Linked DNA regions of Schizosaccharomyces pombe. Changing the gene in region 1 together with any one later gene gives a genetic interaction. Each region holds a gene or a part of one and is shown on either strand. Other genes may lie near its edges. The genes, in order: vps38, npp1, ptf1 and uap2.

Region 1 (6,240 bases):
TTAGGTATCAGTTGTAACTACCATTCAATACTTTGTAATTCAAAAATCATTATGTTTATTTTTATAGAAATTAATATGTGCCGCTGTTCAACATCACCATTTTCTTGTTTCAGATTTAAAGAATTAATTATCCTGTTCTCCACGGAAGCTCTGAGTTTTAAGTCTGCACGTACTCATTGCCGATATTTATTTCAACTCAATAGGTATCATTACGGTTTGGAGAACCTAAAAAATCTTAAATTATGAATTCCAACGTAAATATATGAGGAAAATAAAGATGTGCCATGCTTTACATATTTTGAGCGAATCGACCAGCTATAAACAGTACTCATCAACACATTAGTGGTGAGCATACCGTACATGGAAAAGCAAAACATCCTTTTTTAATAATACAATTTTTTCTTATTAACTAAAATCCTTACCCGATTAGGTGGGTGTTGTTCATCCATTATCTGTGCTACATTTAGAGAGAGACCTCTTTCCAAATCGATTACACTTTCATTTTCTATGTTTACACATCACTCATTTGTAAATAGACCTTCTAACTGGACAATAAAATTTTCTCAGTTTTTAAATTAAAGAAATGGAGAGTATTATACAATATTGCATGAATTGAAAACATTGAAGCGAAAGAGCGTGAACAAGGATTTCATCCTAACTCGTAAAGCAAATGTTCATTCTGCCTCGTTTGACATATCAGACGGAAGTCAAATCAAAGTGGATTTAAATTATAAAATAACTTGAAGTTTCATTTTATCATGTTTGCAGATTTTATTTACATTTCATCTCCACATTCCAATTGTATGCACATATGCAATACCCACTGTTACTGGTTCCTTTCTTAACGAAAATTATCGCCGCATACTAAAAAATATTTAATTTGTTTATTGTGACTGTAAATTAATTTGTGTTTTTAGATCTTTTATCGGGTTTCTTCAGGACGGGCTTGATGACACTTCGATTGTTTACAGAATATATCTATAGTTAAATTATTTAAACAACATTAGCAAGTCCAACCTATAATAAGGAAAATAAGCTCACTCTGGAAGTTCTACTGGTTTGGCCGATAATGTTTTTAGCAACATGTAACAGCGTTTACTATTGAATTTGTTTAAATTTCTTAAATACCATTTTGATCATAGCAATTCTGTTCGGTTGCTTATAATATTGCTCTAAATTATTTTTTATTTCACTTACTTCTTCTGCGTTTTATTTCTTGCTGACTGTAAATATGGTTAAATTGTTTTCAAAAACAAAGTATCAAATTTTTTTTTGTGCTTCTTCAGCGGACAAATGAATAGTAAAAACTGAAAGCGTGCTTTTTTGTTGGTAATAATGTTTGATTTACTCTTTTTTTTTTTTTTTTTTTTTTTTTTTTTTTGGCTCAGACCTTCTTGCTCATAATGATCTGGGCCATAGTACATCAATTTTCGAAGACAGTAATAAAGCAATTAAAAAAAAAAATTTTCGCCATTGATTCAAACTCACATCAGTTATCAATTAAAAAATTTCTTTACAGTTAATTTCTGCTATATTATTTTATTGAACCTTTTTAAATTCATTCAACCATTACGGAAGACACTAAATTTCCTTAAAGAATGAGTTCTGAGCTAAAGGATCAGTGGCCAGCTTTAAGAATAAGATATATTACGGCAAAGTTTCAGAATTATCTAAATATAATTTAATATAAATACATTTAACGATTATATTATGTATAGTATTATAATCCAATTAATTAATGGTAGCATATAATGACACGCAAAAGGGCTTAGTGAAGTCTTGCTGCTGACAATAAAGTGCATATAATGTTAGCTTCGCAGTTTGGTATCTGATTTAAGGATACATAGAACTGCGGTGAGTTTTCCTTGTGATCTATTATATTACAATACACAGGTTGTATGAGTAGCAACTGAGTATAGGTATTGTATTAACTAGGTTATAATGTTACCTATCACTAATATATCTTATAACTGAACTGAGGGACGAGGTTCAGTTGTTCTCAATTTATAATATTTGAAGTAGTAAGAATTATATCTGATAGTTATCTTATCATGAATGATATTATATCTCCATCTTGATGACTTATCATGTAATAGTTGATAGAGCAAATAGAACATTGTGAACATGTGACATATAGTGATATGCAACGTGGAGTATCATTGCGTAGTGTAGTATTGCTGACAATAACGAACTAAACCAGTATATTGTTATCCTACGCTAGCACCAGACTCAGCTGAGTTTACCAAGTAGGGCGATGCGATGAAGCAAAAGCATTCATTGCTTTAACCATGATAGAATGTCGCTTGAATTACCAGGAAACTACCGACTTTCCAGGCTTAAATCAATACAAATAAGAAATGTTCAAGAAATTCAAAATCATAGCAAATTTGCGATCAATACGACGGAAAATTTGTGGAAACGAGATGTGCAGTTAAAACGTGCAATTTCCGAAGGAACTATTCGTATTTTTATATCATTGCATGTGCAGAGTAAGAAATTGCCTGTTTATATTACTGAAACGAGCGGAAATGCTGTATGTGAACATGCTTTGATAAACAAAAGTATCTGAATGGTATCATTATATCTAGGTTATTTGCTTGATTGAAAAGGTTAATCAGTTTGTTTATACAAGTGATTTGCCAAAATTTCGTTGCTCAAATCCTTGAAACAAAGCCCTCAATTGATAGTTTATACCTTGTATCTCTTTTACCCATATACAAATTTTGTATGTATTTATGTTCTTTGTGTCTAACCTCTCATTAGAATCACATCTTTTACGTCGATGAAAAAGTAACCGAAAAGCTTCAAAAATACCGTCACGAAGAGTACTTTATCGTGAGGACTTGGTGCTCATCAAGTAGTCATGCCTTCAAGCTACATAAAGAATGGAAAATTTTGAGATATGACAGTAATTTTCGTTATATTGGTAATGATGTACGGTTGAATATTTTTGGTTTACCTTATGTTTCCCTTGTGTTGACTAACATATTATTTGTAGCCTGTTTTTGCAGTTTGTCATATTCGAAACGGTCTTTTATGTGAATTTAATGATGGCGTTTACATCTACACAACATCCCAGTCTTCGGATATTATGAGACAGACCTCCTTTCCAAAAAGTGCCTCCACATATTCTATAGACAGGCGGAAGGATGGTTACACTATTCAGAAAATCACTCGAATTTTGAAACTGGCTGAATGCATAGATGAAATGCACATTGCTAAACATGAAATTCGAGCTCATTTTCAGGAGGAGGAGTTTCAGCAGATACGTTTGATGCACAAAAGGATGTTACTTCGGGATGAAAAAATCGATGAACTGGCTAAATTAGAACATCTTTGGCAAAAACAAATTAATAGCATCACTCAGATGAGGACGAAATTTGACAAGACGAAAAGCTGGTTATCCTCAAAAAGGAACACTTTGAACAAATCCAAAGAATCCCTTCAAAAAGATGAAGCTGAGTATGTGGAACTTGCCAATTCTTTAAAAACAAAAGTAGAGACCAATATAGAGATTCGAATCCTTATGGCACATGCTATTCGTATGCACGTTTCCCATCTTTCCAAAATTTACCCAATCCAACCATCGCCTGGCAATCATGACGAGTTTACAATTCGCAATCTCCGCCTATCTTTTGAGCCAGATAAAATTAATAATGTGGAAATGGCTGCTTCCATAGGATTTTTGGCGCATTTACTTCAAACTCTTTCAAAGTATCTCGAAAAAGAACTCGCTTATCCAATTCTTTGCGCATCTTCGAGATCCTCCATCCTGGATACATTGACACCCGACATCCCCACGCGTATCTTTCCCCTTTATCCAGCAACTCGACCAATTGAGCTTTTTGAACATGCCATTTATCTTCTCAACCAGGATGTAAATGATTTTTTAGAAACTTTTGGATTACCTATTGACCAATCCATGGACATACTCAGGAACTTTAAAAAACTGCTCCAATTTATTTTATCAGGACAACATCTATCTTTTGTACAAGTAACGTCTACCGCTCCTTAACAATTCCATAAGCTTAGGCACCATAAGCCTAAATTATCGTTAATTGCAAAACTACGCATAACTTGTCTATCGTTTAATTGTATCTTTTCACCCTAGTTTACTCTCAACAATCAATTTCGTTTTCGTATTCTTTGTTGGAAATTCATATACCCATTTCACGGTTTAATTTTAATCATCTTAATGAAGAGTTTTTATGGACATTTGCCGAAGGCATATTACTCATTGTCATTGCGACAACTACTATACAATGCATTTACGTTTAAAATATAAAAATAAACAGATAATGATGAATGTAGATATTATAAATAGTTCCCTTAAATTAATAAAACTTGTGAATTAAAAAATAAAAAGAGCCATGTTCATTTTTTGATAGTTATGTGATGGTGATCGAGCTCTTCCGGTTACATCCGACCCACATATTCTAGGTATAGGCAGGCGGAGCGGGTCCTACACTTTCAAAAACTGGCGGGCATTCTTCATCCCAACTAATACCTAAACCAGCTGGCGTGGTAAGTGGCTGAACGACTGATACTCGTAAGATACGGGCATTGCCCATATTGTTTCCCGCAACGTTCTTTTTTCTATTAACAATGGTCTCAAAAATTAAATGATGAGAGACTTTTAAGGAAAAAGGGGCAGGAATTTCCACGTCACAGCTTGGCTCTCTTAAAGAAGATGTGTTAATTTGAGTAGATAGAAACATCTGATTATCAATGAACTTCCATCCCGATTGTAAATCTTGTGTACTCAAAATTCTTTTTTCTTCAATAGGTCGAGGTTTTACCAAATCACGATGGCGTTCACATGGTTGACAACTAAACTGCATATGCTCCTCCAATCTCCAAGTAACTCTATTGATCTTCCAATCGTTGCCGTCATTTTGGGCAAAACCAGTCATGGTAACTTCCATAAGCGCAGCTCCATGAGGATGCAAGGTACTGGGCAAAGTAATGTTTGCAACAAGATTCGTAGGGGGAAAGATACGTTTATGGATGGTATCAGGCGAAGGAATGGCAGCTCGCTTTAGTTGGAGAGGAAACTTAAGAACTTCGGGCTTCGAGGGAGAAATTCCGCCTTCAGGAGTACCATAGCATAACGTAGCTTCTAAATAATACTCAAGCTTGATGTATCTGTTAGAAACCGAAGCAGGAAGCGAACCAGGGAAAAGCCAACTAAAAGGCCAATGCTGAGTACCAGGTCTATATGTGGTATTTGCAGCTAAATCCCAAGTCTGTAAAACCTCTTTTGAACCCGCACAAGCAGAACAATGAGAGATTGCAGGATGAAGAACGGTGATCCTTTTTATGAGTTGCAGCTTGAGGGTATGTACTTTAATAAAAGGTTGATGTAAAATCGTCAGTTTTAAAATGCCAGACGCAAGTGCACCACTAGACGTTTCCGGCGAGCCAAGGAATACCAGCGGCGGTGATTCCATACGTATATCTAACGTACAGCGAGCAGGGTCTTTTGGCGTGGTTGAACGAGGTAGTGCAAGTTTTAATGGCATAGTAATAAGAAAATCTAAGCGTTTGTCGGTAAAACAAAGGAATGGAAAAAAAAATAGAAATGGAAAATTTTTTAAAAAAAATTACCAGTATGAAATGATAAACCAGGAATAAAATAATGTGTGTAAAAATGCCAAGTACACCTAAAAAAACCAAACCCTACAGTGGAAGAACACTGCTAAATTGAACTTAAAAAATGTGAAAAGGAAAAACCCACCAGGAAATTAAAGAGAAGAAAGAATTAACGAAGTATGGAAATAAGAAAAAAAGTCGTTAAACCAAACAACCAACGACTTTTTTCTTTCGCCTATTATCCAAATTTTTTTGAAGATGATTTATACCTATTCTTCTTCCGTAGAAAGTAATAGTAATCCAATTGATGAGAAAGAAGTAAACCGACTTGAATTTAACACAGGGATGTAAGGTAACAAAAAAGCTGAACAAAGGAACTTTATGAGTTTGCTTTATGTCTCCCTTAGTGATGATGTTTTTGTTTTAATAATTCAAAATCTCATGTGAATTATCAACCCAAAAATGTGTAAGAACAAGCTAATTAAAAAAAAATAGCAGACTGTCAATTAAAGTAGAGCACACACCTTCTTAAGAGGAGCTGAAAAAATGAAAAGAAACCCAAGGCTAGAGAAAATGAGAGGTTCGATGGGCAGTTTATATTCGCAAGATTCGCAATAGATCAGCAGTCCACGCAAACCAAGTCGATTG
Region 2 (5,921 bases), 590 kb from region 1:
GTGGGCAGGAAAATATTTATATCCACAACGGTCCGTGATCAACGAAATGGATTTCATCCTGTTTAACACGTTAGGGATTGGTGCCTTCATTCTTCATGATCATTTGCTCGGAATAATCAAATACAATTATATACACGTTCCTCCTCCTTCAGGAAAATTATGTTCGTTGTGTGAAGATAATTTACCAGAGTGGTACTTTGAGGTACATAGCGATTTTTGCCTTGTTTGGAATGATCTCGTACGCCGCGTTTTCGCCGTACAACAATTGATAAATTGTAAGAAGCTGGAAATAGAAGACATAGTTAACAAACTCCCTACGGGTAGTAATCATATGGTTGAAGAAACCTTTCTTTCCTTGCCGGTCATAACAGTATTCAACGGGAAGAAAAACAGAAAACAGAGGTTTCGCATTCGATCATGGAGAAGCTCTCTGAACTTTTTGGTTAAGGAACTGGACAAATCCATTAAAAATTTTGCTTATTTAGAACATCGAACGTTTTTGACAATTTCAAATTCTGCCGCGAAAGACATGAAGCGAGAGATTTATGAAAAATCATTGGTGAATTGGGAGTATGATTTTCTTGTTCCCTCAAAGATCCAGGATTATTTTTACGATGTTCATTCACTTCTTTTGAAAAATTTATCGTCTAAAATAAAACTCTGTAATCACATTTTAATGTATCAAGCAACGTTTAATGAAGTTAAAAATTTTCTTCAAACGTACTCCTTGAATATGCTATCAATTGAGATGGAAAACATCGAAGGAAGTCTGTACTTTGGAAATGCTCAATTGTCCAATCTAATTTGCGTAAACCAATACCTTTCCGAACAGAGACCAGTGTTTTTCAACAGGCTGTTAGCCCTTGGGAACGTTGAAAATAATAATTCAATTTACGATGACATCCAGAAACGAACAGAACGTATATCTACCATAAAAAGACATAAAAAATACTTTGAGATTGGAGAACGCTTAACAGAAAAAGACTTAATTGTGTCTAAAACCTTTAAAACAACAAGGATAGATTATTTTAAAGCGGTAAAGGGATCAATTGAAGATCTGGATGTGAGACCTCTAAAAAATCGGCAGAAATTTGTTAACAAATTCTATGCCTCGATCGTTCATTTTCTTACCGAAAGTATGCAGTTCCCAAGCCATAATGATAGGAGATTTGGGGATAATACTCCTCACTCATTAGACGAGTTCATACTTTTAAAAGAAATAAACAGAGGGGCATACGGTAGGGTTTATCTTGCTAAAAAAAGATCTTCAGGAAAGTATTTTGCTCTTAAAATGATTCCAAAATCCAGTCTTGATAGCTTAAAAAAAATAAAAGGACTATTGCTTGAAAAGCGTAACATGCATATCCAAAGATATGGACCAAACACAGTGAAATTATATTATGCATTTGATTCTGGGGACTACCTATGCCTTGTAATGGATTATTTTAATGGAGGAGATTGTGAAACACTTATTCAAAAATTAGGACCGTTACCAGAGCAATGGGTTTGCCAGTACGCAGCTGAATTACTAAATGCTATCGAGCTTTTGCATCAGGATGGAATCATCCATCACGACATAAAGCCTGCCAACATGTTGGTTGACGAAACAGGACATATTCGGCTTACAGACTTCGGACTGAGTGAAAACGTAGAGGAAAAAAAAGAGGTTTATAAGCTTACTAAGAGGATGTCATTTGAACAGAAACATGGAAATTTGTATGAGCAGCTTCAACCTAAAAAATTCGAATTTGTAAGATATGTTCGAAATTACCGCGGGAATATTGATGAGCTTGAGAAAGCGGAGAGTCCACAGCAAAATAGTGATTATGCCAATGACTCGGTCCAGCATTTACTTGACTTTGATATCAATAACATGGATGAAACAGCAATACACATGTTAATGAATCAGTTAGAGAAAAAGGAAAACCGGACATTCATCAAAAAAGATATTTCAGGGACGCCAAATTATATGGCTCCAGAAATTTTAATGGGCGTTGATACTCAGATGGGCGATATATGGGCGATGGGTTGTGTGATATTCGAAATGTTGACTGGCACGCGACCATTTGAAGCAAATACTGTAAAAGCAATATGGGCTCGCATAGAGAGAAATGATATTGGTTGGACTAAAAGAGTGAAAGAAAGCTGCTCAAAGGAGGCGGTAGACTTAATCACCAAACTCATGGATCCAGACTGTAACAAACGGCTGGGTAGCAATGGATACCAGGAAATCAAAAAACATCCTTTTTTTCGAACCATTAAATGGGATAATTTAAATAGTGGGCCAGGTCCGTTCGTTCCACAAACAGAAAATGTTGAAGATTTGACGTACTTTGAAAAAAACATAAGCGGTTCGGATAATATTAATAAAAATAATTGTCAGACGTCAGCAACTTTAATTCTAAATGGTATTTTTGCTTTTCATCCTCCTCCAAAAGCAACACCAGCTGACAGTGGTACTGAAACCTCAAACTCAGCTGCTTTCTCTGCGTCCGAGGAGGAGACCACAAATTTAACAGACCAAAAACGAAAAGATCTTTTTTCACTAATAACCAAAGCGTTTAAGGGAATAGACTTAAAGGCCCTTAATTACAACAACAAAGCCACGCTTTTGCGAATGTATGATGAGGTCGATTTCCCCAAAAATCAACAAAGAAATAAAGAGAAATTTCGAATTCAGAAACGACCTAACAAAAAGTATCGCTACCATTTATTTTAACATCATGTAAAACCATAGACATAACATGTTCGCTATCCAGAACGAATCATGATAAGTTGAAAAATGGTTAATTAATATTTCCATACAGAAACAGTAAAAAGACAAATAAACTTGTTCTACAAAATCTTTTATTCTGAGGCTTTAGCCAAATAATGCTTCTAACATAAGTTGATGTTTCCTCCTTGAATCCAAATATTATTAATAGTTGAATTTCATATATGAAAAAAAGCTATCTCATTTCACTAAACGTTTCAAAGGATGACATTTCCTATACGACAGAACATTTAAGAGGACTGAATAGTTTACGAATTGAAGTAAGTTAGAACAAAGTGTTTACCGCATATCTTTGAAAGCGTTAAATGATTTTAACAATATTTTTCGCATCGTTATTCAAGTAAGTATTATTTGACAGATTATATGATATACCTAACAATACTCCTTTATATCATTGATTTTGAACATTCGCCGAAATGTTTAGTTGGGCTAATATTGGGTCCAACGAGTATTTGCCTTTGAAAAATGATCGAAAGGCTTATTTGAATCAATGGGCAAAACGATCGGGACTAGCAATTGCCGCTATTTGCATTTTAGGAATTCTGATATTGGCAATTGTGAAATTATTTTGCTTCAAAGCAATTATTTTTCCTATCGTTGGAGGTTCCTTCAACAATGGGACCAATGTTTTTCAGTCCACTGTCATCGTAATCTCCTTGGATGGATTCCGTGCTGATTACTTATATCGTGGGTTCACACCTAATCTTCTGAGCCTGGCTGAACGTAATGTCCATGTTCCCTTTTTGATTCCTTCTTTTCCTAGTATAACTTTCCCTAATCACTATACTATTGTTACCGGTTTATATCCCGAGAGCCATGGAATCGTTAGTAACAACTTTTTTGATCCTGTAACTGGGAAGCAATTTGTCAACAGTATGCCTGAATGTAACAAAGACCCAACTTGGTGGGATAAAGGGGAGCCTATATGGGTCAACGCTGAGCGAAATAACGTTCGATCAGCGGTACATATGTGGCCTGGAAATGAAGTGGAGAATCATGGTTACAGACCTACTTATTCGGATGGTTTCAATTTTGATACGACTCTAAGAGAAAAGAAAGATAGAATACTCGAATGGCTGGATCTTCCTGATAAAGACCGCCCTCAGTTATTACTTGCTTATGCTCCCCATGTAGATATGGTTGGGCACGCATTTGGACCGGATTCGCCTGAACTGAATATCATAATTCAAGAAGTTGATATCGTAATTGGTGAACTAATTGAAGGACTGAAGAAAAGAAATATCGATAAGCATGTCAACATTATTTTTTTAAGTGATCATGGAATGGCGCCTACATCCGATAATCGTCTTATCTGGCTGGATAATATGTTTAATTTGTCTGCCGTTGCACACAGAGATGCTTGGCCGTTAGGAGGTTTTAGAGGAGAATCTGATTTAGATGATGAGTACATTTACGAAAGTCTTGTTAATTATTCTCGCTCGTCATTACCTTCTGCTGAGAATTGGAATGTTTATTCAAAGAAAGATATACCTTCTCGATGGCATTACTCAAATAATGAAAGAATAGCTCCCGTTTGGATGATCCCGGATGTTGGATGGTCTCTTGTCTCGATGCTGGATCATTCACCGGAGTTGGAGTATGAGCCTTTGGGTGTACATGGTTATGACAATTTGTCTCCAGTGATGAGAGCACTTTTTATCGCTTCAGGATCTTCTTTTAAGAATTTTAAGGGAAAGAAGCTTGCACCGTTCCAGAACACCGAAATTTATGGCATTCTTTCGCATATATTAGATTTACCAGCTCAGCCTAATAATGGTACATATGAAGGTGCTTTACCTTTAAGAAGAAATCGTAATTCTACTAAGGAATGGTTGCTGAAGGACATAGAACAAGCATACTCTAAGCTTATTTAATTCTGCTGTTTTATCACTATCTTTATATTTTTTAATATTTTTAATTTCCTTTAGATTATATTTAATACTTTTTTTTAATAAACGACTTTATTTGAATAGCAACAATAACTGTATTCCGATTTTTAAGAATCGTAAAAGAACATCACTTCTTCTATTTTTAATTAAATGATGGTCATAACTTTGGTTTCACTTTGGTACTGCTCATCCATGCAAATGTCTAGTGATTGTTAGCTTGTTCTTATACCTAATTCATTCCATTAATACTTACCAATTTTCGAGCAGCCTCCGGGTCCACCATAACATTTATGAGAGATACAGATGAGGTTTGCCATGCTTTCCTGAGGGAACTTCTCAAATCTTCTTCATTCTTTACAAAGAAACCTTTACCACCACATGCTTCGCAAATTTGATCATAACGTATACTAGTGCCTAAGGCAGTAGTCGGTAATTGGTGATTATCACGTAAAGTTTCATAAGCATCAGTATCTAATCCATGGTAAACACCATTATTATTGATTACAATTACCAAAAGATCCAGCTGGTTGCGTATGGCGGTTTCCAGTTCCATGGCGCTAAAGCCAAAAGCACTATCACCCTCAACTACCACTATTTTGTCGGATGAATGGGCAAATGCGCTGGCAATAGCATATCCCATACCAACTCCCATTGTTGACATAGTGCCTGCATCCAGTCGACCACGTGGATGAGTTACTTCTAAAAGCTGACGGCCCCGGTCCATTGTATTGGCGCCTTCAGAAACCCAAGTGATATTACGCTTTGATTTGAGCGATAAGCTTTGTAGCTCCTCATTCACGACATACAAAGCATAATTCATTTGCAACGGTATACTGGACTTTCGAGATTCAAGAGCCTTTTTCTCATTCTTGGATCGGGTTTCATTTAACGTGCGAAGGTAAGGGGTCGAGATGCCAACACTGTACTTCCAAGTTTGAACGAGCTTAAAAAGACAATCTATTGTCAGACCTACATCAGCCCAAATTGCTAAATCCAAATCTGCAGCATTGTTTCCTAAAGTTTCAGCATTGGTATCAATTTGAATAAATTTGGCATTAGGAGACCACTTTGGTGGAAGACCATATTGAAATATCCAATTTAAACGTGCCCCTGCTAAGAGCACTACATCTGCATTACGAAGAGCAGCTGACCTTGCCGAAGACACATTTAAGGGATGCGATTCTGGTAACAAACCTTTGCCCATGGGACTCGGAAGAAACGGAATGCCAGTATGTTCAACAAATTCCAAGAGCTGTTTT
Region 3 (5,539 bases), on another chromosome or scaffold:
GCAGAAAAAATAGTAACAACATTATGGTTTGTAGTCCAATTATAACCTTCCATAACTAGCTGATGAGCTCTTGCTATTAAATCTAAACCGTTATTATGGTTAAATGCTTCAGCAATATCCGGGCCAAACGTATACCCAGCACCTCGAGGAGAAATACCCCAACCAGGTCGGTCATCAGGATCTGACCATAACAAGTCGCATATCGGACCTTCATGAGGAACCTCTTGCACACGATCTAATATACGAACATGGTCAAGTGTATCAATACTAGGAGAAAGACCTCCGTGAAGGCAAAAAATTCGATCTTCAATTAGGGCGGTGAGAGGCAAATAGTCAAAAAGATCTGTAAAGTACTGCCAAACATTCGCATTTCCATACTTTCTAAGGCATTCATCATAAAATCCATAAACTTGTGTAATTTGCCTAGATTCATGGTTTCCACGTAATATTGTTATACGCTGGGGATATCGAATTTTAAAAGCAATCAGTAGAGAAACTGTTTCTACACTGTGATATCCTCTGTCAACATAATCTCCCATAAACAAATAATTTGTATCAGGTGAAGGGCCGCCAATATTGAACAACTCCATTAAGTCATGGAATTGTCCATGAATATCACCACAAACCGTTACAGGGCATCGGACGCTTTGAACGTTTGATTCTACAGAAAGTACCTCTTTTGCGAGATCACACATTTGAATGACATCTTCCTCTGAAAGAGGTTCGCATCGACTCAACTGTTCAATCCAACGATCGACCTCTCCAATTTTTCCAGAGACAGACATCTTGTTGAAAAAAACTTAAAGCAATAGTTAATAAACGACTAAATTTTTAATTAAAAAGAAAAGCATCCACAGAAAAATCCATAAGGGCTTTTCCGTTTGTATGCTATCCTGCGTTGAGCATGCGTTTTTCAACTTCCCACTTACGAATTCACTGGATGACGGGGGTATTGTAAGCTTATTCACTTTCTTGACAAAATAATGGTGTCTGAGGTACGTTTACTGTACATATACTGTATTTTATTATTTATTCGTTCGTATGTGGGAAAGAGAAATATTATGTTTTACAGACACGGTGGGGAGTTAGGTGAAGAAAGAAAATGATGCGAGTACGGGAAAATTTGTATGAAGGTTGAAAGGTATGGTAGTAGACAGGATACATAAAGTCACAATATTTCATGTTTTAAATTTTATTTCAATTTATTAATAACCAAAATATTACAGACATGGATTTCGTAATAGCAATTTTTTCTGCAAGCCCCTTAAAACATCATTACAAGTTTCCTGACTTTGAGTAACTTTACCAAACCAAAATATAACAATATGCGTGATCTACATTATGTTATACTCGCTACCTTATTTCGGCGATCTCACGACCAAAAGACGCAAAATTTAATATCTCTTTATTTTCTTTCTTAAAAAAAATAAAGAGATATTGTAGCAATGCGACCACTTACGGACTGATATGATATAGGATTTTTCATACAAGACTCGCAAATGGATGAGTATATAAATACAAATTATGTTAAATCATTGCTTCTAACAACCCAAACTAATCGAACCGTTGGTGAATGATGCATTTAAATTGCTATGAGGACCTGCTTGAAACTAAGTTTCGAGGCGCTGATAACAAATATCTATCAACTTTAGGTATAAAAATGTTGAAGTACGAAAACTTCTTAGGTATTATTCAGATTTAACTGCTAAAGAATAATTTTTGCAAATCTTTATGGATATCAGCAAAGGTTTCGAATTCAGAGAAAGAAATTTTCTCCCTTTCACAATATTTAATTAAATCACGTCCTTTCTTGGCAAACAAGTGTTCTGTTTCCTTCGCAGCACTCAAATCGGAAACACCATCTCCGCAATAGACCATGTGAGGACGTTTACTTTCTGGCAATTGAGCATACGGACGGATAGTAAGGCTTTTGTCGTGTCCAAAATGACTGTCATCATGATACACAATGTTCCATTGACCATCAGGATGCACATTGATGTCATTAGAAACAATTTCAATACTACTTGCTTCTTCTTTGCCAAGGTATTGCTCAAAAAGTGCACGAATAAAAGGCTCCATACCACTTGAAAGGATGATTACACGAATGTCTTGAGACTTACACCATTCATAGAATGGTTTAAATGATGGATCAATGGCGACATTCTTCTTGAGAACCTCCAAAGCTTCATCATAGCTTAAATGCACTGAATCCAACATCTTCGCGAAAGCATCACTATGAATTGTTAAGAGTTGATTTACGCGTCAAACGCTTACCGAAAAGAAATGGAACCGTCAAGAACTTGTTGATTTAGATTCACACGGTTGGCGTTGCCCATTCCAAAGTTGTCTAAAACATAGTTAGTAAACCGTCGCCGTCGAGTGTTGCAGTAATAAAGCATTCAAGGTGGGCAGGGAAATTTTTGACCCAATGTTATAAAATCATAGATTTCTCTTACAGATTTTCGTAAATCTTCAATAAATATTCAGTTAAGCTTAATTGTAAGAACATTTTCTAACTACCTTTATACATCTTTTTATATCTGTAACAATCTTCCTATTCCCAACCTTACCAGTTAAGTAGTCATTGGAATCCTGGAGTGTAATAGTTCCTAGACCCCAAAAGTTAGTTGTCTGTTTTTATTGAAATTATTTTTTCATACCGTCAAAGTCACTGAATACGTATAACTGCTTTTTCTGAGCCATAGTCCAAATCTTTTTGAATTGCTGAAATTGCTTGCTTTGTACAGCTATCCAACTCTAGGATTTAAAGTAACGAAACTTACCAGCACTGATATAAAGTTTGTTGTTTATTCCGTGATTAGCAAGCAGTCGTTTGTTCGAGTCATGATAAATGTCATATTTTATCTTTTATATGCAAAAAAATGAAATTCTTAAAGTAATTTACAGTCTTCTTTATTTTAAAGGGCTGCAGATTAAAAATCGAAATTAGTGTAGAGGTTGAATTAACTTAAAGCATATATTTATCAAAGAAAAGAAATGATATTCTATATTTCTGCAAGGGGTAAACGATATCCTCAGTACGTTTTACCATAAATCCTAAGAAAAGTGGCCCAAGCCTTGTAAAGTGAAGTGTAATTTTTTTTTTTTTTGTTTTTTCTTTTTAAATTTCAAATGCTTTTTACATCTACAACATTCTCTCAAGCGTGAGTTTCGCTTATCCTAATGTTAGCTACGCAGTTTCGTATTCGTTTTAATGATACGTAGAACTGCGGTGAGTTTTCCTTGTGACCTATAATATCGCAATACACAGATAATATAAGTAGCAACTGAGTGTAGGTATTGTATTAACAAGGTTATAATGTTACCTATCACTGGTATAGCTTGTAACTGAACTGAGGAACGAGGTTTAGCAGTAGCTCTATTTATAGTATTCAGATGATATAAATATTAATAGATTATCATTAAGATCAGTCTCAATATCGTATCATACATAGTACGATATTTAATTAGGACATGTGACATATAGTGATACGCAACGTAAGTATTATAGCGTATTATAGTATTGCTGATACCTAACTATAAATAGCATATTCTAAGCTGTTTATGAATATTTCCGTAAACCAGCTTTATGGCTGGTGCAGCAGTACATTATGTTTAACTCACTATATGAAGACATGAAAGGATATAACAGTAATGTATAAGTATTAAGAAAGTATGTTGCAACGACTTTCTCAGTCTATTAAGGGATTTGCTGCTCGCTTTCCCAAAATCTATAATAAAGGAAATGGATCAGTTCAACAGACTATACTCCAAGCGAGTCAACGCTTGAATGAATTAACTGGTTATTCCTCCATTGAGGCATTAAAGAACGCGGTTGTAAAGCAGGAGACAAAGCTCCGTGATTTTAGATTATCTGCAGCTGAAGCAAGAAAGCGTTATATTGAAGCGGTTGAAAAAAGATCGTCAAGTCAACGTGAAGTCAACGAATTGTTACAACGACGTAGTAGCTGGTCTACTATTGATTTAGAAAGATTTACTAAACTATACCGTGATGATTATTCAAACAAAGAAGAAGAAATTAAGGCTCAAGAAGATGTGGATGTAGCGGAAAGGCGGGTAGAGGAAGCTCAAAATGGATTGGTGCGTTCGATTTTATCGAGATACCACGAAGAACAAGTTTGGAGTGATAAAATCCGGCAAGCAAGTACCTGGGGTACATGGGGATTAATGGGAATTAACGTTGTTCTTTTTGTGGTCGTTCAACTAATATTGGAACCAAGGAAAAGGAAACGGTTGGTTCGTGAAGCTGTGGATCACATTGACAAGGAACGAGAACTTGAAATAAATGATGAACTGAAAAAGATTTCCGAGAAACTTGATAAAAAAGGTGAAGCTGTCGGCCAAGCATTAGAGCTTACTTCTCCGAAAATTGACAATAAAAACCTTCCCAAAAATTCTGCGTCCTTAATTCTTCCTCCTATTAATTACGATACGTTTCACTCTTTTTTGGATTCGCTAAAATATTTCCTATCTCGCTTTTTGTCTACAGACTACCGCATTCAATTGACTTATCGTCAACTGTCTATTCTGGCGACCAAATTTACGGTAGGCGGTGGAGTTATTATTTACACCTTTATTCACTTGTTTGGTTTAGCATTCAAGCGTTGAATTATTTACATTAACAATCGTTAATTACAAGATTTTATGGTAAAGGTTTTATAGATTACAAGTTTTAAAAAGAGCAGATATTTGCGTTATGAGCAAAGCAGATGTATATCTTCATTTATTCAAACTAAGAAACCTTATCAGAGAATCCAAGTGTAACTACCTAATTCCATTTTGCCAAAAAAAATATTAATGAAATATTCTTAATCATAATTTTGACTTGAGTAACTTATTTCGTACAATAAATAATGCATTACTTCCATTCTTTCTTTGTATTTAATTTTCATATTTTTGACTCATTATAACCATCGACAACGAATACATTCATCTTCAACACACCGCTGATGATACGAATGTCCACAGCGAAAATGTACCATAGGTAACTCTAAATCGATTCCACAGGTAGAGCATTTAGACTCTTGCACGACAAATGCTCTTGTACGAAGAATTGAAAGTTGACTAGTAATTTCTTCAATATCCCGCTTACCCATTTCAATAGCCTCATTTTGTTTCGAGATTGATTCACGATAATTGTCAAGAACAGATTGCATTGAGTCACTAATGTGCTCGAGCTTGATATTGACTGATTTTCCAAGAATGTCTAACAATTGTGTTGGCGAAATAAGACGTTGAGAAACAATTATGTTAACTATTTCGTTGATATCCTGATACCAACTATCAACGTTTTCTAAAGACGCAAAACAGTTCAACATCATGATGTACAACTCTTGCTGATCTGGACCATGAACACGAACCATTTTTAATGCCCGTTCAATATCGTTTTGCTGACAGAAAGAGCGAAATATATCAAGCGTTTGACCCGATTTTCCTTGAACAAAACGAACCCCGTCATCAAATCCTAGAATTTGAGATATTAAAAAGACTGCATTAAGGTCTACGTTTTTTTCTACTT
Region 4 (5,979 bases), 2.6 Mb from region 1:
CGAAGGACGTATTCTGCCCACTCCAATGCTTCGTCAATGTCTTGAGAATGTACAAGGTCTTCATTGGCGCGAATCCAATCAAGTTGCTCTTCATCGGATACTGGTAAGGGAAAAGGTAAATCCGCTACTACCTGCTTTTGCAATGGGGATCCGTTATTCGGTTTAGGGTTGTGATTAGAAAAATGTGCCTCTTCATGAGGGAATACAACGTCCGCGGCTTCATTAGATGTACGTAAATATCCTGGGGCAACACATGGTGTAGAATGAGAGCGAGTTGCTGAAGGAGCTGAGTTTCTAATATTCGGCAAAGGACGGTCCCGTTTTGTTTCTTGTGAGCTGGTAGCGCGTTTAATAGTTAAAAGAATGCTAGAAGAGGATACGTTCGGTCGTGAATAAAAATTCTCTTTTTTCATGTTGGTTACAGAGGCACTCAAACTTTGTGTATCGTTCATTTCCGGTGCAATCATGTCGCCAATACCGTAGGCAGGTCCAATGGCATCTGTTTCAAAGGGAATGCTAGATTGAACATTGGAGAGGTAAAAAGCATTTATTCGTGAGGCAACTTGAGGATCGGTTATAGAATGCCCAATTGAGGACCTGTTTCTGCTTTTGATACCGCGTATATTGTTCACCGACTGAGAAGAATATGAAAATTCCGGCACACCCAAGGGGCTTCTATTTCGCATAGAAGATGCTGAATCCATTTAATGGACTTTTTAGGAGAATAGTCAGATTAGCAAAAGAAAACTCGTGTAACGTGAAAAAAAAGAGAGTAGCTAACCACTTTATAAACTTTAAAACAGATTTGTAGCGAACCTAGCAACTTTCACTAGAGGAAGATTTGAAAACAAATAATGTCTATAACTTAGATCCTTTTCCTCCTCAATCGCGTTCTAAAAGTAGATCTTATAATGAAAGGGTAGTGGGAGTTGTCAATATACACACATACACACATTGGAACGGTTACTTCCTTGACCAGCGCAGTATACCCTAACCAGCATAAATCGGGGTAACAAGGTGTAGAGGAAAGAACAGAAAAGATAGTAGTAGTAATGTGCAACGATAATCAACATGAATGAATATCAGGAATAACTAATAGCGCATAGCATAATAACAAACTTATATTGATGCACGTCTAAATAAAACTGCTTTATACATGAGGATGTAAACTAGCTATTCATAGAGTATTTGTATGTGTTACAAAAATTAGGGACCATTCAATTATGATAGGAAGAATGCCTTATTATGACTGATAAAACTGTTAGCTTATTCTTTTATCCGAAATTGAAAACAATTGATATTTCGCCAGCTCATTGTCACTTTAAACAAGGGATAATTTTATTTTAAAAGAAGAAAAAAATAAATAAATAAAGAGGTCAAGAAAAACACACGTATAAATGGATAATGTGCCAACTGAGACATAGTTACGAAATTTAAAAAATTTCAGTTAGAATTTTCTAACCAATCTGCGAATTTTTCCAAACGTTTTTCCTCGTCCTCTTCATCATCTAATGTATGCTTTCCACTTTTCTGGAACCGAACCTTTCCATCGTAAATTGAAGCTTCCACTACCCGGCCATCAAAATATCGGCCTTGCATTAACCTTACGCAAGCTTCAGCTTCTTCATTGTTTGAAAACCGTACAGTTACTACTCCATCAGGCTCCTTGTCGTACAAAACCACATTAGTAACTCGTCCACATTTCTCAGCTTCCTCAGTGATATCGTCTTTTAAGTCAATTAAAAGTTCAGGTGTTTTATCGAGTTCTTCCAGCGTAAAAATATGCTTTAAAACTACTATTTTATTAAATCGTTTTTTTCTTTTATCATCAACCTCTTCGTCAACATCATCCCAGGATGAAATTTGCCTAAAACCTGTTAGCTCTATAAATTAAAAGATAAAACCGAGAAAGAAAAAAGTTGGTATGCAACAATAAATAAAAGAGAAATTTTTTATGAGTATTCATTACATAACATACTGCATTTGTTGTTGTCGGAGACGAAGTGCCTTTTTTTTTAAGGCACCACCTACGTCTTTGTTCACCGTTTTCTCCTTTTTGTAATCAATATTAGCTTTCTGGACACGCATCTTTTGCCCAGATCCATAACGAAATTCAGTGTCATCAAATAATTGCTCTGCAAGCTCAACACTTTCGCTGCGGAAAAATACAATTAAAGCATCACCTTTAGGAGTTCCATCCTCTGTCCGGTAGATTTTGATTCTCGGCGTACCATTGTCAATATTCTTAGCAATAACACCGCATTTCTTGAATACTTCTTCAATTTCGTCAACCGTGACATCCAGTGGTAGTCCTTGAATGTAAACCGCTTTGTTTATTACTGGGGCGGGCGAGGCTTCTGAATTTTCGGACTTTGACTTTTTATTTCGAGAACCTGAAGGATACCCTTCAGCCGATGTCGATTCGTACAATCGTTTGGTATGGCGGTCTTCGCCGTTGCTAGATTCCTTTCCTTCGGTAGCCTCCGCCGTAACATCACTGACTTCTGCACCAGTTGAGCCGGCCTTATTCATTTTTAAGCTATTAGGATCCTTGTTTAGTTAGGGGTCATGTTTGTCTCAATGGAATGGTAAAGCAAAATTGTTCATCGTACATAATCTTTCCAAGTTTGTTCTTCATCAATATATATTAATTCGTTTCCTTCTGATCCTAAACATCTCCAACGATGTATTCTTTCATCCCAAAAAGGCTGGCTGGACATAATCTACGAGCTCTAAAACGATTATAACTTGGTAAAGTTCAAAATGACCTCGATTGTTTTCACATAACGATTTCTAACAACGCCACAATATATATGTAGAGTAATGTCACTGCTTTGTATAATATGTATGGAACAAAATACAGCTTCTTTAGAGATTGAGGTAAACAATTAATGTATTGATTGTCAATATTCTTATTAATGCCAGTAGCATTGAATTTTCGCATTAACGCATACACTTTGTAACCTATCGTTACACAAGTCAAAAGTATTAGTTTAGTTTTCAATTTAGGGATTTGCCTACGGCTAACAGCACGCAACTCGCATACCTATGTTGTTGAATGCCAAAACTACCAAAAAAACTAAGACGATAAATCAATAAATAGGCAGGCATAGTTTCTTTACTAATCCTAGTCCTCAAAAAATCTTCCTTGGTATGCCAGAACTTGTCCATCAGTCGCACACAATATCAATTTTAAACTGAAACAAAACATACAGGCAACAAATGTGTATTTCTAAAAATGAAGTTACCAAAATTACAATTAACTTAAAAAATACGATTTACACTTTTTACCACACATAGTGATATGAACATATCAAACTAAACATAATCTATTTCAAATAACCCCAACGGAATAGCTTAATGAATAAATTCTTTCGAGTGGAAAAATACTAATAAGTTTTATTTAAGGAAAAGAAGGGGTATTTTTTCGAAACCGGAACCGTCCCATCGGCCAGGAACCAATGTATTTTATCTGCAAGGGAGACGTAAAAAAGATATAAAAAATTGGTTTACAAATCAGCGTCATCCTCATCAGGTAAAGGCATAGCAGCAGCCTCGTTCATTTCCTGTTGGTATTGAGCTAACAATTGCTGATCGACTTGAACCTCAGGAGGAGCAAGGGCAGGCGAAGCAACAAACTCCAGGTTGGGGTTGCCAACCAGCTTACGGGCAAGCCATAAGAAAGGTTTTTCGAAGTTATAATTGGACTTGGCGGAGATGTCGTAGTATTGAAGGTTTTTCTTGCGATGGAAAGTGATAGCCTTAGCCTTGACTTTACGCTCTTTAACATCAACTTTGTTACCGCAAAGAACAATGGGAATGTTTTCACAAACACGGACAAGATCACCTGCATTCGATTAGTAATGTTCATTAAAGTAGTCAAAAAAAGCTAATGTCAATATACTTATAACCATTAAATCTAGCGGTCTATGAGTATCAAAAAAAACATTTAAAGCTTTTTTTTGCTTAAATATCACTTACGCCACCAATGGGGAACATTCTTATAGGTAATACGGGAAGTAACATCAAACATGATAATACCACATTGACCTTGAATATAGTAACCATCACGAAGGCCACCTAACTTTTCTTGACCAGCGGTATCCCAAACATTAAAGCAAATTTCACCAAAATTAGTATGAAAATGCAAAGGATGGACCTCAACACCCTAAAAATATGTTAGACTGTTGTTTCTAAACGAAAGATCTAAGCATAAAAAGAGTAACTGAAAACCGATGATGCACGAGTACAGATAACTGTATGTCTCATAAAAAGATGGCATTTATTTACGATACTAGGCATCGTTTCCGGTATACAAAAACTGTTCTAATAAAGTAAAATCATAAAACGTACCAAAGTTGCAATATACTTCTTTTCAAATTCACCAGTCAAATGACGCTTGACGAACGTGGTCTTACCGGTACCACCATCGCCGACAAGTACAAGCTTAAAGGTAGGAACGTTTTGTGGTTGAGCCATACTAAACTTTTCTCTGTTGCACCTAAACTAACTGAGAGTTTGGTTAAAGGAAAATTTTAGTGGTGCGTAATTTTTATATGAATAAAAGACCTGGGTATAACAAAACCCTAACCCTGATAGTCGATTGGAATTTAACAGAAAAGGGAGTGTATGGTATAGTTTTTTAATGCCGATTTAACGAATTGTTTAACGAGTTTGACTATTGCTCTTATTGAAGTTGATCGCCAAAAAATGGATATAGTGTCGTTTTTGAAATTTCAAAAAAGAATTGCTTCTACGAAAAGCTACATTTGTGCGTACTTGCTTATACATTCTGGGTTTATACACAACTTACAAGCAGCCAATGCTTACTTTTTGGACGTCACTACACGGTTTTGATTGCATGTAAAGATAAAAAACCGCAGCCAAGAAAACGTATTTGCTAATCCAAGGAATGCCAGGAATGCCCATACATAGAAAACAAACATTCTAAATTTTCATTAGCTATATTAGTATCACTAGTAAAAGGCCTACGAATTCTGCAATGATCCAGGTCCGCTACCAGCGTGGACTCAGCTGGATCGAAATGATCGAAATAAAGATTAAAAATAAAACAAACGAAAGTGGTAGGAAGTCGACAAACAAATGAAAATTATCAGTAAAAAAATGCTGAATTAATAGAATGATGCATTTGCTTTTAAAAATTTATGCAATAAAAGATAAAAGCAAATAATTCAACGTTAAATAAGCCATATGTGCATGATGAAGATACTATAGCTTCCGCTAGTAAATGTCGGTAAACCAGAATCGAAATGAGCGTATCAAATATGCCCGGTTAATTCTTAAATTGGTGTCAAATATGTCCGCAGTAAAAGCATCAACGAATTTAAAATTCAAACATATTAGCTATGTTTTCAATTTTGAAGGGATATTTAGTTTGAAAATAGATTAAGGAAAACCAGATACTAAGAACAGGGTCTGTTGCGCAGGTTTTAGAATTGGAATGTGTTGCACTTTGCTTTTGTGGATTTTGAGGAGTGTCGGTATTTATTTTTGCTTGCTTGATTTCTTATTCTTTTGTTTTGCATTCTTCTTTAATCCAATCGAAGAAGTGAGATTTGCTTCATTTTCATCATCAATTAATAGAGAAGGAGGCCTAGTACGAAGTTCTTTAGCTTTGCTAAGTGAAATGGTAGGCATTCTCGACGTTGTCAAAACAGGTACCGACATATCGCGTTCCACAGTAGCCTTGAGAAAAGCCGAAGACCAACGATGTAATTCTTCATTATTTTCACAAGTAAAATAATGAACCTTTGGTGGAGTGAACATAACTGCTGCTTTAGCGGCACCTGGAGCAGGTGGAATTAACTTGATAGCAGTTTTGCCTCCACTTAGAACAATGTCATCGGTTTTCGTAACACGATGAGAAGTCATATCAATTAGGCCTTTTTCTGAAGCATCATTTAATGAATGGTAATAAGAAAGCCTTGTTCCTTTTAATACAAAGTATCTAGACTTCCA

Evidence for each region.
Region 2: mutations in vps38 (region 1) and npp1 together harm fitness more than expected from each alone (negative genetic interaction), as found in Schizosaccharomyces pombe (one large-scale study listed by BioGRID).
Region 3: mutations in vps38 (region 1) and ptf1 together harm fitness more than expected from each alone (negative genetic interaction), as found in Schizosaccharomyces pombe (one large-scale study listed by BioGRID).
Region 4: mutations in vps38 (region 1) and uap2 together harm fitness more than expected from each alone (negative genetic interaction), as found in Schizosaccharomyces pombe (one large-scale study listed by BioGRID).

What each region holds. Positions count from the first base shown.
Region 1 is NC_003423.3:1,803,966-1,810,205, forward strand, and holds vps38 (phophatidylinositol 3-kinase complex subunit Vps38), read left to right. Parts: upstream 1-2,265; 5' UTR 2,266-2,296; coding exon 2,297-2,533; intron 2,534-2,763; coding exon 2,764-2,934; intron 2,935-2,998; coding exon 2,999-4,015; 3' UTR 4,016-4,352; downstream 4,353-6,240. Other genes in the region: arrestin-related substrate adaptor Any1, read right to left, coding at 4,437-5,522. UniProt on the Schizosaccharomyces pombe protein: Involved in endosome-to-Golgi retrograde transport as part of the vps34 PI3-kinase complex II. Mediates the interaction between atg6 and the pik3-ppk19 core complex, leading to the recruitment of atg6 to the membrane.
Region 2 is NC_003423.3:1,209,621-1,215,541, reverse strand, and holds npp1 (nucleotide pyrophosphatase), read left to right. Parts: upstream 1-3,150; 5' UTR 3,151-3,189; coding exon 3,190-4,647; 3' UTR 4,648-4,751; downstream 4,752-5,921. Other genes in the region: serine/threonine protein kinase Ppk31, read left to right, coding at 1-2,719; 2-hydroxyacyl-CoA lyase Hac1, read right to left, coding at 4,820-4,864, 4,916-5,921.
Region 3 is NC_003424.3:2,603,349-2,608,887, reverse strand, and holds ptf1 (phosphoric monoester hydrolase), read right to left. Parts: upstream 2,737-5,539; 5' UTR 2,704-2,736; coding exon 2,661-2,703; exon of another isoform or gene 2,610-2,660; coding exon 2,571-2,609; intron 2,515-2,570; exon of another isoform or gene 2,348-2,514; coding exon 2,275-2,347; exon of another isoform or gene 2,234-2,274; coding exon 1,699-2,233; 3' UTR 1,474-1,698; downstream 1-1,473. Other genes in the region: serine/threonine protein phosphatase PP2A catalytic subunit Ppa1, read right to left, coding at 1-785; protein She9, read left to right, coding at 3,676-4,629; vps11 (HOPs complex subunit Pep5/Vps11), read right to left, coding at 4,926-5,539. UniProt on the Schizosaccharomyces pombe protein: Component of the mst2 complex which is a highly specific H3 lysine 14 (H3K14) acetyltransferase that functions together with gcn5 to regulate global levels of H3K14 acetylation (H3K14ac), critical for DNA damage checkpoint activation.
Region 4 is NC_003423.3:4,382,838-4,388,816, forward strand, and holds uap2 (U2 snRNP-associated protein Uap2), read right to left. Parts: upstream 2,754-5,979; 5' UTR 2,721-2,753; coding exon 2,613-2,720; exon of another isoform or gene 2,551-2,612; coding exon 1,979-2,550; exon of another isoform or gene 1,868-1,978; coding exon 1,444-1,867; 3' UTR 1,200-1,443; downstream 1-1,199. Other genes in the region: chr4 (SEL1/TPR repeat protein1, 3-beta-glucan synthase regulatory factor Chf3/Chr4), read right to left, coding at 1-704; Ran GTPase Spi1, read right to left, coding at 3,510-3,847, 3,982-4,168, 4,354-4,479; pob1 (Boi family protein), read right to left, coding at 5,506-5,979. UniProt on the Schizosaccharomyces pombe protein: Has a role in pre-mRNA splicing.